Astyanax mexicanus: one gene and its partner. The protein of the gene in region 2 interacts with the protein of the main gene of each other region in a biochemical or structural test. Links are inferred from orthologs where the notes say so. Each region holds a gene or a part of one and is shown on either strand. Other genes may lie near its edges. The genes, in order: dapk1 and klhl20.

The links.
Region 1: the proteins of klhl20 (region 2) and dapk1 are reported together in a solved structure, tested with the Homo sapiens proteins (2 studies listed by BioGRID and IntAct, with this or other methods). The link is inferred for Astyanax mexicanus from reciprocal best matches to the Homo sapiens genes KLHL20 and DAPK1.

The regions. Positions count from the first base shown.
Region 1 is NC_064429.1:18,860,031-18,867,845, reverse strand, and holds the start of dapk1 (death-associated protein kinase 1), read left to right. Parts: upstream 1-4,609; 5' UTR 4,610-4,812; intron 4,813-5,745; 5' UTR 5,746-5,842; coding exon 5,843-5,904; intron 5,905-7,815. UniProt on the Homo sapiens protein: Calcium/calmodulin-dependent serine/threonine kinase involved in multiple cellular signaling pathways that trigger cell survival, apoptosis, and autophagy.
Region 2 is NC_064415.1:59,187,960-59,196,029, reverse strand, and holds the start of klhl20 (kelch-like protein 20), read left to right. Parts: upstream 1-5,039; 5' UTR 5,040-5,281; intron 5,282-6,744; 5' UTR 6,745-6,775; coding exon 6,776-7,111; intron 7,112-7,624; coding exon 7,625-7,831; intron 7,832-8,070. UniProt on the Homo sapiens protein: Substrate-specific adapter of a BCR (BTB-CUL3-RBX1) E3 ubiquitin-protein ligase complex involved in interferon response and anterograde Golgi to endosome transport.

The DNA of each region.
Region 1 (7,815 bases), on a different chromosome or scaffold from region 2:
TATTTTTATTTTTTATTCATGTTTAAAATTAAATTACTACTGATTTTCCCATAATGCCAAAACAGTTCCAATACAATTTGAAAGAGTATAACATAGGCTATGACTCCTGCAAGTTTGGGCAAATTTCACTGTATTGTTTATTTTATATACATTTTTTTATTTTTTATTCATGCTTAAAATTAAATTTCTCATGATTTTCTTATAATGCCAAAACAGTTCCACTACAATGTGAAAGAGTAAAACATAGGCTATGACCCCTGCAAGTTTGGGCAAATTTCACTGTATTGTTTATTTTATATTAATTTTATAATTTTTTATTCAGGCTTAAAATTAAATTTCTCATGATTTTCCCATAATGCCAAAACAGGTCCACTACCATTTGAAAGAGTCTGTCCTAGGCTATGACTCCTGCAAATTTGGGTAAATTTTAGTTTAGTTTATTTTATATTAATTTGTTTTATTTTTTTATTCATGTTTAAAATTAAATTTCTCATGATTTTCCCATAATGCCAAAACAGGTCCACTACCATTTGAAAGAGTCTGTCCTAGGCTATGACCACAGTCTAGTCTAGAAATCACCTGTTAAAGACACCTGTGCTAGAAACAGGGGGTGTGAGTTTAAAACCATCACCTTAAATCCAATACCTCAAGTGCAAGGGGCTATCTATAGTGAAACCTGCAGAAATACGCAGTGCTGATAGCCTGAGGAACTGATAGGACTGCCTCACAGTGGCCCTGTGATGGCTTATTGGAGAATGAATTTACATCTGATACTAGCAAGTATTAAAAATAAACAAAACAGTGAAATTTGCCCAAACCTGCAGAGGTGATAGCCTAGGACAGACTCTTTCAAATGGTACTGGACCTGTTTTCAAGGATTCAAGGAGATTTTACTGTCATTCGTATCACATGTGGTTCATGAGGTGGAACGAAATTGTGATCTCACGATTCAGTTTACACCCAAGAGCTGTTGTTAAAATAGATATATAAATAAAGTAAGACAACAAAATAAAATAATACAATAAAAATAGAATATAACAAAATGAAGATAAGATAAAATAAACAAAACAGTACAACTTGTCATAGCCTAGGACAGACTCTTTCAAACGGTCATGGATCTGTTTTGGCATTATGGGAAAATCATGAAAAAAAAAATATTTTAAGCATAAATAAAAAAAAAATTAAATTATTATAAAATAATCAATACAGTAAAATTTGCCCAAACTTGCAGAGGTGATAGCCTATGTTGTACTCTTTCAAATGGTCATCGACCTGTTTTGGCATTATGGGAAAATCATGAGAAATTTAATTTTAAGCATGAGTAAAAAAAAATAAAAGATTAATATAAAATAAACAATACAGTGAAATTTGCCCAAACTTACAGGAGTCATAGTCTAGGACAGACTCTTTCAAATGGTCATGGACCTGTTTTGGCATTATAGGAAAATCATGAGAAATTTAATTTTAAGCATGAAATTTGCCCAAACTTGCAGAGGTGATAGCCTAGGACAGACTCTTTCAAATGGTAGTGGACCTGTTTTGGCATTATGGGAAAATCATGAGAAATTTAATTTTAAACATGAATAAAAAAAACAATTAATCTAAAATAAACAATACAGTGAAATTTGCCCAAACTTGCAGGAGTCATAGACTATGTTCTGTAAGAAAGAACATATCCAAAGATCCTCTCGCTCACACGGACCAGGAAGCTTCCAGCGCTACCTGACTTCAGCAAATCCTCCGCCTCCTCACGAGTAATAATACCTGTGTACAAAGAGAAAGAGCTCAAATCAAAAACGTTTAATCACGTATTTCAATTTATTGACTGTAAGATAATTATTTATTATGTTAGTAATATTGCAAACAAATATAAAGAAATAGCATTAATCCTTTGAAATAATAATAATAACAAACCCAGTAATTATAAGCAGAACACTTAGACAGAGAGAGAGAGTTTTTTCTTGGATTAAAGCTCACAGATGGCCCACACTTTGAACTCACCATGAAACCAAGGGGCAACTCGACTCTCGCCTTGCTGTAAACAAACTCTGAGGGTCTGCTCCTCTTTAAACCAGCGAATAATTTCATCCCTGCTGGACGTCGACAGCGACCGGCACATACCTGGCTTCCTGTTGATCATAACGGAAAAAAAACGAATTCAGAAAAGCTTTAAGAAAGACAAGCTGTCTGACTGCCTCTCTCATACCAGAAAATCCTACATGACATCAGCTCTACAAGCCCAGGAAACAATAGAGGGTTAAACTGATAAGCATATATGACACAGCCTAGAGCAGTGATGGTATAGTTACTTTGAAAAAGTAATCCGATTACTGATTACTCCTTAAAAAAAACTTAGTTACTTTATGGATTACGCGATGTGTGTGTGTGTGTGTGAGGTGGAGAGAGAGAGAGAGAGAGAGAGTAACGCACAGTGACTTGGATAAGTAACTTTAATCTGATTACTGCATTGGAAATAGTAACGCGTTAGATTACTCGTTACTGAAAAAAAGAGTCAGATTAGAGTAACGCGTTACTAAGTAATCATGTAGTTGTAAAGGCAAAATCCAGCAAAAATATATAAACAAATAAATTAATAAATATAGCCAAAAAGAATGGGTGACAGAATTTCATTAATAATAACTGATTTAGGCTTGTAGCTCTGGTGCAAAATCAAAGAAGCAAATTTCAGTAATTTCCTAGATGAAAAACTATGTTCAGGCTTTAAGTGAATTTGTCAAAATTATTATTTTTATGAAATCATCCTTTAAAATATATATTTTTTTATCATGTTGATAAGTTAGGCCTTGTTAATTTGTAAGACAGATTTACTATCAAATCAATGCACAATAAAATATGTAACAAAACATAATTAAAATATGTTAAATAACTCGTCAGAAATTCATATTATATTGTGTTACATCATATTGTGAAAATCACCCAAGGCACTACTAGTAACATAAGGCCACTCAGTGCTGGTGTGGGTTACAGAGGGGCCTACATCGTTCCAATCCACAGCCTCTCGAGGTCAGTCACACAACTGATCATCATTGTTTGTATCTGTTCACTCAAGAGTTAACGCCCAGTCTTTTTTTCATGAAGCACTCACGCCTGACTACATAATGAGCGTGGTGTCGTTCTCACAGGAGCAAAGAGCACTACAGTGTATTGAATACTACACTTCACTATAACACTAAAGCTACAATATTTGACATGGCTTAAAGGGGAAGTCCACCTGTTTTAATATTTTTATATAAATAAATATTTAGTCATTTGTTTTACATTAGTTTTGTGATAACATGATATTCATAGATTGTATTTTTTTTAAATTGCAAAACATTTGGCTATATTTGTGTTTTATATCTGGACCACTGATACCTATCACCACCATTGTAAAGAATTTAGAATCTGTAATTTTCTATATTGTGAATTTAACTACTCTGACAGAAATATGCAAAAAAAAAAAAAAAAAATTAAAATTCCACTGTAAGCAGTCCTAAGTAAATCTACATAAGTAATTCCAAATCCAAATATATTTTTGTGCGTATAAGGGAATCGATGAAACTATAAAAAAAAAATATTTCACTTACTTTGCATCAAAATCTGCACAATTAAATTAATAAATCCCAAATGAAGAGAAGCAGATGTCAGCCTCAATGTGAGATATTACAAAAAGTTTTGAATACACTGGCTGATTAGAAATTCAATCAAAAATAAAAGCAATAATAATAATAAAAATAGTAATGCAATAAAAGAAAATCAAAATAAGATAAAAAGCAATGATACAAAACTATTAAAATAATAATATAATAACTATAATAATAATAATAAATACATAAAATGAAAATAAAATAAGGAAACAAAATAAATAAATAAATAAAAATAAAAAGATAATGAGAAATGAGACGGGGCCTAAACACCCTGATTTTTGCTGACTCCACTCTCAGCTCAAAATTGAAAAAAAAGGCTAAGAAATAGCAGGGGTAGTTTGGGAGGGGTACTGGGTGATGTATGGGTTTAGGGGCGGGGCAGGAGGGACAGCTGATTGGCTGAGCTGCTGCAGCAGCAGCACTGTGCCTCTGATACCTGTGAAACTGTGAATCGTGAGTATCAGAGTACCAAAGTACACGGACACCTAATCCACACCATCATCCATTTCCCCTTGAGAGAGGTGGAAATGACAACAATACAAGTTTTTTTTAAGGCAAGGAAAGGGTTATAAAAATAATTAAGCAGGACTGGTATGTTTCATTACTTTTAAGGAACACATTTCAGCTAATATTGGAAAAAATATGGTTTAGGGTTTAAACAGTGTACACAATAATAAATAGGCTTTTTTACTTCCCTATATAAATATATGAAGGATAATTAAACAATGTGCATAATGATATATATATATATGCTTTTGCATTTACTTCACTATATAATTATATAAAAATTAGTTTTTTTTATCATCAGCTCTCTATAACTGCCATTGAGGGGAGACACTAATGGCTTGAGGACATTGCCCCCCTGAGTACTCGCTCTATACCGCCTCCTCCAGACAGGAACGATTGGACACACGCGCGCGAGCGCACTCTCTCTCTCTCTCTCTCTCTCTCTCTCTCTCTCTCTCTCACACACACACACACACACACACACACCTACTTTCTGTTGCAGTCCTCCCATTTGCCTTCATTTCCTACCACCAGTCCATGTCGGTGTCTCTGCGGAGCGCTAGGTTCAGGCTATGCCGCCGTTAACGTTACCGCCAGCGCCTCACCCACCCGGACTTTACCTGCTTCCCTCAGACCTAACGACCGCTCGAGCTTAGAGGTAACTTTAACGCTGGTTAACGACAATTTCGGTATAATTTAGCCGCTTTTTATTGCGCCAGTGTTTAAGCTCTTGTTCCGGGTGAGGGTATCGGTGCATCCTAACGTTGAAGACACGTTTCTCGGTTAATTAAACGATATTGGGGCTTTGTTTTGCGGCTGTCGCTTGATTTAGAAGGTGAAGAGCCTCGTTTTAGAAACGAGCGTTACTGTTTTTTTTAAACGTTAGTTAACCTAGGTTAGCTAACTAGCTAACATTTAAATGTAGTTTAAGCTAAATTTTGTGAAGCTGTATCGTTAGTACAGCAGCAGCAGCACACATAGGCTATATATATGTAACTTAACGTTACTACGTTTAAGTAAGCGTAAAACGTTACGACGTTTAATACAGCGTAACGTTCAAATGTAACTTAGTTAACCTAACTAGCTAGTTTACATTTTGTGTGAAGCTGTATCGTCAGTACAGCAGCTGCTGCTTTTAATACACACACACTAATACACACACTATGTGAAAGCTTGGTGATTGAATAGGCTGACTAGCTATGTTCAAGTAAGCGTAAAAAAACTGCGTAACGTTCAAAGAAATTGTTCGTTAACACATTTTTTCGTATGATTATTAATTAGCACTTGTCTTAATATTTTACGTTGAATGTCCTTTGCTTTGTTGAGCTACACTGGTGATGTTTTATCGTGAAGGGAAGGGGAGACCCAAGCCCAGCTGATATAGTAGCTAGCTAGGTTAGCTAACGTTAACTAGCTAGTTAATAGATAACCTAAGTTAGCTTAGACACGTTCACCTACAGATACTGCCTAGCTTTAAGCTAACTACTTAGCTAGCTACGTGCGACGGTGTGTTTTTAAAGACGTTGTGAAAACGTGTGTAACATCTCCCTCCTTGTCTACTACATCCTTCCTTCCTTCCTTCTTCTTCCAGCGCGAATATGAGAAGGGTTCGCCGAAAGCTGTCATGAGGCTGGGCGGCTGATTTGGGAATCCCGCTGTGCAGGAGCAGCAGCAGCACCACCAGCACTATGACTGTCTTCAACCAAGAGAATGTGGAGGATTACTACGAGATAGGAGACGAGCTTGGAAGGTAATTAATGCTTTTTAGCTTAATTTCAGCTTTTTTAGGGGGCTTTCCCCAGTTTTTTCTCAGCTGGCACAGTCGGGACTGGGCGTGGACTGACATGTAGCTCTAGCTATTTCTCTTATTTTTGTGGTGAGAGAGATGGGTTGGGTTTGTCTCGTTTTCTGTCAGTTCATTTCCCCATCCATGCACACATTCAAGTCAGTTAAGCTAAGCTGAACTGATCTGATCTGAAGACGCTCTTCAAATCAGACACACAGTGATGTATCAGGCAGAATGTAATGGTCACTCATCACAGATGTGGCTCTGGTGTCTTCTGCTAAATGGACTTGGACAGGGCAGATGTGCCCTCGAACCCCATTCACGCCTGTCAGTCAGAAAAGCTTTGATATTTTAACAGCCAGACTTGGTGCTGTGCCTCTTATTGATTGATGTTCAGTACGTCCAGTGGATGGATGTGACAGCCTGCTGTGCAGATTGGTCATCTGAGATCTGCACCTGCCAAGATGACGGTCCAACCAAGATGTCCCTCAATTTGCACACTGACGGTCATGCCGACCTTACACCAAAAGATTTTCCAGCGATTTCACTGTCGCAGACAAATTTACAGTTGTGGTCACGTTATCTCGATCATTCATTGTAAGGATTTGGTTAGGATTTAAGGTTTAAGTCAGTCTTTTTCTTAACCTGGTGTTCAGATACATTCAGATACAGATACATAAACCGTGTTTAATATTATCAAAAGTTTAGACACTTGGCTCACACAATGTCAATAACCAATAGGAGAGCTTTAAGAATCTGCAAGGCAAGCGTGGGGACATTTTCGTTCACTCAAACAGGGTCGTGTCCACATTCTGCAGTTTCTTGTCTTTTCCTCTGTTGGCTGTTTTTTCTAAACAAATCACTGCACACACACTTTCTGCTCATTGTTAAACTGCTTCTTTTCCTGTTAAACGCCACCAGAAATATGATGGGGAAATAATCTCTACTAATAATAGTGACCCAATAGATCCCCAATCTTTCAAAATCTTAGTCTGTGACTTGTCTTTAGATGTGAGAAAGTGTCAGACTTTAGTCTATTAAAGTCTTTTCAGAGTCTTTTCAATATAATCTAGTGTATGGGTAGCATTAGATGATGGAAAGCTCATTCTTTGGTTGGATTTTCAGAGAAATCCCTAATCAGAAATCACATTTTTTTCCCAGCTGCATATCATGAGGATGCAGATTCTCATTGACTTCCAGGCGTGTGGGTGGTGTTGTTCAACACGGATGAGTGTGCTCGTTGTGTGGGCTGCAGCGAATTTGACTCTTTTTGTGTTTAAGAGAACTGATTTATGTGTCAGTTCTCGTGAAGCCGCCCCTAAAAGCAGGGAAGTCGTATCTATGCCCCATACATAGATTGATATGGTTGTGTAGGAGAGATGGTACCCTGCCAGAAAATCAAAAATATTTAAAGGCCTTGAGGATGATTTTGTTGTCTATGTCTTTCTGTAAATTAGGCTTGTTGCAGTTAAGCTATTCGTATAAGAAGTGTGACAGTGTTGTGCTGTAGTTAGGCTAATTCATTCAACTGGTTCTGTAATAGAGAAGTGAGTGAAGTGTATTTGATTACACCAAGATGGGAACTAGAAACTCGTTCTTGTGCTCTCTCTGTGTGTGTAAGAACTGGATTAGTCAGGTGTTAAAATGTGTCATTTGGGATATGCAGTATGCATTATTCAAATAAACATCGATTGCATGCCGAATGAGTGTGTTTCCGTCAATTTCAGTTTGCATATACAATAATATTGACTGTGTCTGGGCCTGCATTTACTCCTATATGGGAAATTCAATGTGCCTTTGACTCACAGCACTTGTTTGGAGAGGTTGAGTGCCAGCCTTTAAATGCTGTCAATAACTCTTAGTATACTGATTTTT
Region 2 (8,070 bases):
ATATAGTCTTATTCTTTTATAATAAGTCTAAATTAAAATGAATACGATACCATTACAGAACCCGTGCACTCCGAGACCAAGCCATTTTCACAACAGGGGACGTATGATAAAGAATAATAAAGAATATTAATATAATTTTCACTGTGATGTTTCTCTCAAACACAAACAGAAACGTTTAATGTTAAAGCGAGAGCTGTAAACTCAGGTCTACAGTCAGTTCTCCAGATGCTATTGCTCCTTCTCTCTCTCTGTCTTTTTCTCACAGTAGGGAAGAGTAACACATGCGTGACCGTGGTGAAGACATTTTTAATAGCTTTCATAAGCCTTCCATCATCCTCACACAAACCACTTATTATATACACAGTCTCTGGAAATCATCTAAAGGAACAGGTGAAGGATTTGTACCTGCCTGTTGAACTCTTCACTAATCTCAAATTCCTCCCTTAGCCCCACTCAGTCATTAGTGTTTGTATCAGTGTCTCATCTGTAGCCCAGCCCTCTCGTTATCTTAACCAGGTGTTTCTTGTCTGTTTTAGAGTAAGAACAGGCCATTGTCTGATTTTGTGCTTTACAGTGTCAGTTTATGGTTGTTTTCCAGTTATGTTCTGTTGTAGCTTGTTTAATTTGTTTATGAAAATAACAGGGCGCACAATCTTTTTAAACTCTTTTTTTAACCCTAGGTATTGTGTAAAACTGGCATTTTCCTAACAAGGTAGATTTTTATGGATATTTTTGTATGATTTTAATTCACTCTTTGTGGTCTACCAACAGCTTCCTGCAGATCCAGTGAATCAGGAGTGTTTGGGTTTGGGAACGAGCCAAATAGTTGTAATTCTGCTGATTTAAGGCCGTCATTAATGGAAACACGTACTCGACTGACGTCTCGGTTGTGGTTGGGTCAGGAAGGTTCTCTGTAATGTACAGCAGGACCAGCAGAACTTTCCATCTGACCACACCGGACTGCTGAGTCTGAGCATACTTACAGCTCATTAAACCAACCTCATATATACAGAATATATACTGTATATGATCCCCTGATAGACTCAAGAGAGGGACAACTCCCCCACCTAGTGCTCCCATGGATGAAAAGTGGCACTAAATTGCCCCCTAGAGTGGCACAATAACATCAAGTGTCCTATTGGCTGCACATCCTGTGGGTAAAAAGTGATGGAGTGCCCACCAGGATGCCCCTTCTTGCAATAAATGATGATGATGATGCCCAGCTTTGCAGGAACAGTTTGAGGAAGCCCTCTTCCTGTTCCAACATGACTAAATGCACACCAGCGCACAAACAGAGCTCCATAAAGACGTGGATGATCTGGTGAGTTTAGAGGAAGAACTGTACTGATCTGCTCAGAGTCCTGATCTCAACCTGACAGAACAGCTTTAGGATGAATTAAATTGGAGACTGAGAGACAGACCTTCTCATTTCCATAAACACCATAAACACACTCCTAAACCTTGTGGAAAGCCTGAGTGCATGCTCAGACTGTGATGTATTGTGAAACTCTGTATTGTGCAGCAATAAATCAGACTCAGCTGTAAAACGTCTGGATCTAACGGCCGATCCTGTTTCTGAGAGCCAGAGAGACTCTCCTTCCACCACTCCTGAGAGATGATTGCCCTCTGCTGGGAGAGATCTGCATCACCAACAGCCCCTCACACACACAGCCCATAATAATACCAACAACAGCCCCTCACACACACAGCCCATAATAATACCAACAACAGCCCCTCACACACACAGCCCATAATAATACCAATAATAATGCAGTTTTTATTTCATTAGCTGAGTGAAACTGGCATGAGTATTTCAGTATTTAACACCAGTAAAGTAGTTAATTATTAGTATAAAATTTACATTAATAATACATTTTTTAAATAATGTATTTATTAAAACAAAAATAATCTACATATGAAATTAGATCACTAACATCCTCTGTGCACCACACACAAAAAAAATCAGAGTGTCTCTTTATAAGCTCATCATTCTCTTTAAGAGTAGATCAGGTGAGCTCTGTCTTTGGTGGATTGCTATTGTAACGGTGCAGCTACCTGGACGTGTTCAACAAACTCTTCTCAGCAGAGGAAACTGAGCTGCTGGTTGACGCTGTGAAGGAGCTCCAGCAGCTCATTTACGGGAACAGCAATGTTATTTTATTTACTATTCTGTTTATTGTTGATGTAAAAGTTGGGTTTGTGCTGCTGTGTGTTCATGTGTGTGTAATAAGTGGGGGTGTACGCTCGGCTCAGCGCGGCGCCTGTGTTACCGAGATAGCGATGAACGTCTGACTGTTGGCATCTGTCTAGGTTGTATTCAGTCAGTGGAACTCCTGTGTTTTCTGTTACGCCCATCAGTGTAGATATATTCAGAAGATCTGCTGCTGTTTAAACCAGGCAGGAGGAAGGAGTGAAAATAGACTGTTGGTGGGGTGTAAGATAGTGATGTGTTGTGTTGAATTAAAATATGTGTCTAACATATATGGATGCAACGTTAAATACCCTATAAATATAAATGATGACCTGTTTGAGCCGCCAAGGTCAAACCTGAGTCCAGTAACAGGTTTAACCTTCAACCAGCTGATCTACGAACTGCTGCCCACCCACTGACCCCCTGCAGGAACCCTGAGGAACTGCCCTGTTCTACACACACACACACACACACACACACACACACACACACACACACACACACACTCTTGCGCACACACACACTTGTTCCTCCCTCCTCCCCCTCCTTGCTCCTTTCTCCTGGTTGTCGGGGTAACCCCCTAACAAAGCCATCATTTTACCAATTTCCACAGAAACAGGTGCTGGCACAAAGGCCGCTTCCTCGGCGTCTGAAAGGGAAGGTTAGTGCGGTTCATGGGAACCCGGGAGGACAATCTCAGGCCTGTCCAAGTGTCGTCCTCAGACTCCCACATAAAAGGAGGCTAATTTGTTGTCGCTGTTTTCCCAGGAGGAGGAGGGGGGAGAGGGAGGGGCACAGGAGCTCAGAGTAACACACACAGACCCTCTGAGACCCGCCCACAACCCAAGGGCGGAGTCACGCTCTTCGAAGGCTAGGGGCGAAACATTAATTGGGTACCAACTGCACGTCATGAGGCGTGTATATACTAGAGGGGGCGTGGCTAAAACTGAAAACTTAAATGTAAGAGAAACATTGTGCCTCATAAACACTAGAGTCCCTCATCCTGTACCGTCTAATACAGTTCACCACACCGCGACTACAGCCCCAGCTTCACAACATTTTCTCAATGTTACACTTAACGTCTAAAAACAGGTGGATTATAGATTATCCAGGTGTGAGAGATTTCCAAAAATGTCATGTTTTACATTTTACTGTAAATTTAAATTACACAAATCTTTCTTTTTCTATCTGAACTGAGTTTTACAATGTCTGTTTCTCAGCTGATAATGTGTTTATTTCAGAATATTGATTTATTTAAAAATGATTTGTCCTAATACCATGTGATCAGCATAACATCACACCATTTCTCCTACAGTGAGAATACTGAACACACTGCGGGAGCTCTTACACTGTAATTACAATGTTAATTACACTGTTATATACACTGTTAATTACAGTGTTATAGTGTTACCTACACTGTTAATTACACTGTTACATACACTATTACTTACATTGTTATTACAGTGTTATTTACACTGCAATTACACTGTAATTACACTGTTAATTACAATTTTACAGTGTTAGACTGTTACAAACACTGTTCAAAAACAAGTGTTAGTCTCTTTAGCAGTCTCATTTCTGGTTATATGTTTTATTTAATATTTACTGTATTAGTGAAAATTTAAATATATATAAATAGTTGTGGAAGTGGATTTTTGGCTGGAAATACAGAAAAATACAGAAATCAAAGAATGTGTAGATTAGACCGAAAGCTCCAGTCTCTGATGTTTATTGTTAATAATGTTGTAAATGTATTTAGTGAATCTGTTCACTGTGCTGAGTGTGTAACTCCGCCCCTCTCGCTCAGTGAACACTCACAGACCAATCTCGACCAATCACGTGCGGCTTTAGCAGAAAAAAGAATCAGTTCACAATCAGGAGCCGACTCCCTTCACTTTAAAGAGTCGGTTCTTAGAGCCGAATCGTTCAGTGCTGTAATATAACCAGATAATCTGGTGATGGTTAAACACGGGTCTACCTGAGTTGTACAGGTGAGCCCGGTGTGAGATTAAGGTGAGCTGTAAGAGAACCCTGCAGAGAAATTCAGTTTATTTTAAAATCTTTTGAAAATGTTTCATTTTCATGTTTCTGCATATTCATATGATGTGAGGAATATGATTAGACTCTCTTTAGACTGATATGACATTACCTTTTTTATTTAACTTGATTTTGTTCAATTTTTTTATTTGCATTTTCATGCATATTTTTTTGTCTGTTTTTTTTATTATATTTCTTGCTAGCTGATTATTATGTTTTCATATTATATGTTTGTTCAAAAAACAAAAAAAAGGAAAACTAATGAAAATTTTAAATAAATAATAAAAATTTACACTGTTTTTAAAATGTTCCATTTGTGCTCAACCTGATTAATGTTAAAGTAGCAGTCCTTAAGATTTTTAATTTGAAATGATTTTAAAAACAATAATATTACTATAAAATGTTATAATAAATGGTATCAGTGTGCTTATGTATACTATTTCTGTAAAATCACATATACTTATTCTATAAACAGTGTGGTCTGGTAGGTCCCGGGGCCTTTTTCTGGCTGTAATAGATTATGATTTTTTGTACCTGAATAAGTGAGGTAATGCTAAAGGTGCTGATACAAGAACTACTGCAAACACTGAGATATCAGAACAACAAACTCTGAAACACTTTCTTTATCTGATCATCACATCATTACACCAAATAAACACAGAATTAAAATAAAGAGCTAAACAGTCCTCTCTATAATCACCAGATTTATCCAGTACAGTGCACAGAGTTAGCTTAAAGTACTTTTAAAACCTGCAATTAAACATTCTCACCAAAAACCTGCAGACTGTCTCTTTAATCTGATCCCCGGAGCCCCGCGGTGTGACGGTAGAGAGCCGGTGAGCTGAGCCGGGACTGGGCTTCCCTGCGCGGGTCAGCAGATGGCGGAGCTGCGCTGTGGACCGGACCCCTCTCTATAACCCGTAGTAGCAGCAGCGGCTCCGCTCTGAATCCGCCCCCAGCCTCGGTTCTGTGTCTTTCAGCGCAGTTTAATGAGCGGCTCGTCCCCGCGGAGACTTACACCACCACTCTGGAGCGCCTGAATGGACAAATAAGGTAAATTAAAGCCGGGTTTAACGCTGCGATCCGCGGGTACTGTCCCGCTTACCGACCCTATTAGCTACCTGTCTGCCCCCGCTAAGCGCTTAGCAAGCGTATCCCCATAGCCTAGCCTAGCTTAGCCTAGCTCCAACATCCAGCTCAGCGGCTGAACCGAGCCCTGGCGGCCCGGTCAGCAGGATCTCACCCTAATCACAGTTATACTGAATTAATTTACCTCTCATTTTACTAAACTAACTGTGCTTCAACTGTGTCTCGTCTTTTATTAATATATATAAACTGCTAGCTTAGCTTAGCCTGGCTAATCTAACTAACTATAGCAGTAAAACAGGGCAGGGTTGTTAGCCAAGATGCTAACTATCTGTAATTTAACATTTAGCTAGTTCAATAATAATGATAAGATTAATAATAAAATGGTCTTAAAACTCACAAAACGACCAACATACAGCTGCCAGTTCACTGCTTACCCCGATGATTAGTTAGCTAAATGAATTATTCAACTCAAAGTCAGTGTTTAGAGGCAGAAGTGTGTACAGTTATTTACCTCAGATTAGCTAACATAGCTAATCTAAGCTAGTGCTGGAGCTGCTGTGAGTTGTGGTCTGAAATCTTTGCCGAACCCCCGAACTCACACTGCCGCTACAGCACAAACCCACACCGGCCTGTGGGTCTCCGGAGGTTCGGATCTTTAGTTTGAGTTAGTGGGGTAATATAACATAACATCAGAACATCTAATCTAATGTACAGGTTTTAGATTCCTAGCTCCAGTGCACAGCTAATAACGCTAACTAAATAATAAACTTCACACTCCACTCATCTCGTAATCAGCGAGGGTTAAATTTAAGGGTATTTTTTGTTATTAAATGTTTTATTTGTTTCAAAGTAATTGCAATATACAGGAAAATAACACATTAATCAATCTAAAAAACAACAACATTTGTTTAGGTGACACATCTGTGTATAAACTTGGCAGAGTAGTAATAATAGTATTAAGATCTTCTTTAACTGTATGTTAAATGCTGAGAGAAATCATGAATTCCTGTACAAAAATTACTGTGGAGCACAGGGAGTAAACACGACTGAAAAGTGCAGCACTACAAATGTGAATCTTTAATCTCTCTGACAGCTGAAACCTACAAAAACAAAGCGTAGATGGTGTACCAGTAAATGTACATTTTATGTTAAGACAAACCATATTATTCACAATAATAATGTAAAATATATACAAACCAATATAACAATTCAAAAGTCTATGGCTATTACATAATGTAACATATCATAAAATGACCACAGATTCAATCATTAAAATTAAGCTAAGGTTACAGGTTTAAAATAATAATTTTAAATGTCTTCCAAAGTCACTTTTTGGTGCTACCAGGTTAAAGCTATTTCTGCTTACACTATTCTTGACTACATTCTTAGTTTATAATTTCCTGAAATGTTATTTGGATTTTTTTCAGGGGTACCTGTGTGCGCTCGGACTCCGCCGCCATGGACATCACCAGCCGCTGCACTCTGGGTGACCCCAACAAGCTGCCGGAGGGCGTGCCGCAGCCGGCCCGCATGCCCTACGTCTCGGACAAGCACCCGCGCCAGACGCTGGAGGTCATTAACCTGCTGCGCAAACACCGGGAGCTGTGCGACGTGGTGCTGGTGGTGGGCGCCAAGAAGATCTATGCTCACCGCGTCATCCTGTCGGCCTGCAGCCCCTACTTCAGGGCCATGTTCACCGGGGAGCTCGCTGAGAGTCGCCAGACGGAGGTGGTCATCCGCGACATCGACGAGCGCGCCATGGAGCTGCTCATCGACTTCGCCTACACATCACAGGTCTGAGCTAATCTCAAGTTCTATTCTAGTCATGGATGTACCTCAGCAGTGCTGCCCAAGTTACATATAAGTAAAAATTACACAGAGAAGGGCAGTCAGTCTTTTGATAAACAAACAAATGCTAAAGCAAAGTTAATAAATTTTTTTTAATATAAAATTCCGGTACAACTCATATCTCAGATCATAGCCCTGAGAGGAAGTAGAGAGTGTGGGCTGGCTAATAAAAAAAAATCCTAAAAATAGAGGTAACCCTTAATTTTTTCGCTTATTTGGCCAAATGTGCTTATTAACCACATTGGAATAACGTGGTATTCTACCTTGGGACGGCAATTGAAGCTCGGTGCGCTGTCATTCTTTACACTATACAGTTTACTATACAGTTTATGCATCCCCAAAAGGAGATGCTTTAAACAGAGTTAATTTATATTGAAAGTTAATAGACCACGTCATATTATATGCGGCTGTGGCGTATGTCATTGGTGCGGTGTGAGGACTAACAGGTGTGATCTGCAGGTAACTGTGGAGGAAGGTAATGTACAGACCCTGCTGCCCGCCGCCTGCCTGCTGCAGTTAGCTGAGATCCAGGAGGCCTGCTGCGAGTTCCTCAAGCGGCAACTCGACCCTTCCAACTGCCTGGGCATCCGGGCCTTCGCTGATACCCACTCCTGCCGAGAGCTGCTGCGCATCGCCGACAAGTTCACCCAGCACAACTTCCAGGAGGTAGGTTCTTCCCTCCGGCTCCGGTGGTGTGATGGAGGAGGAGGAGGTTTCAGGAGCGTTCCTCAGTAACAGCTTCACCTGGGTTGTGTGTGGGTCGCCTGCTCTGGGTGTTTATAAAGCATCTGGCAGAAAGCTGATTCTTAAATGTTAGAGTGAGCATCACTCCGAACACTTTCTCAATCCTGACACTTGATTGTATTTTGACTGGATTAGGTGTGAAAATGCAGATTGTGATTTGT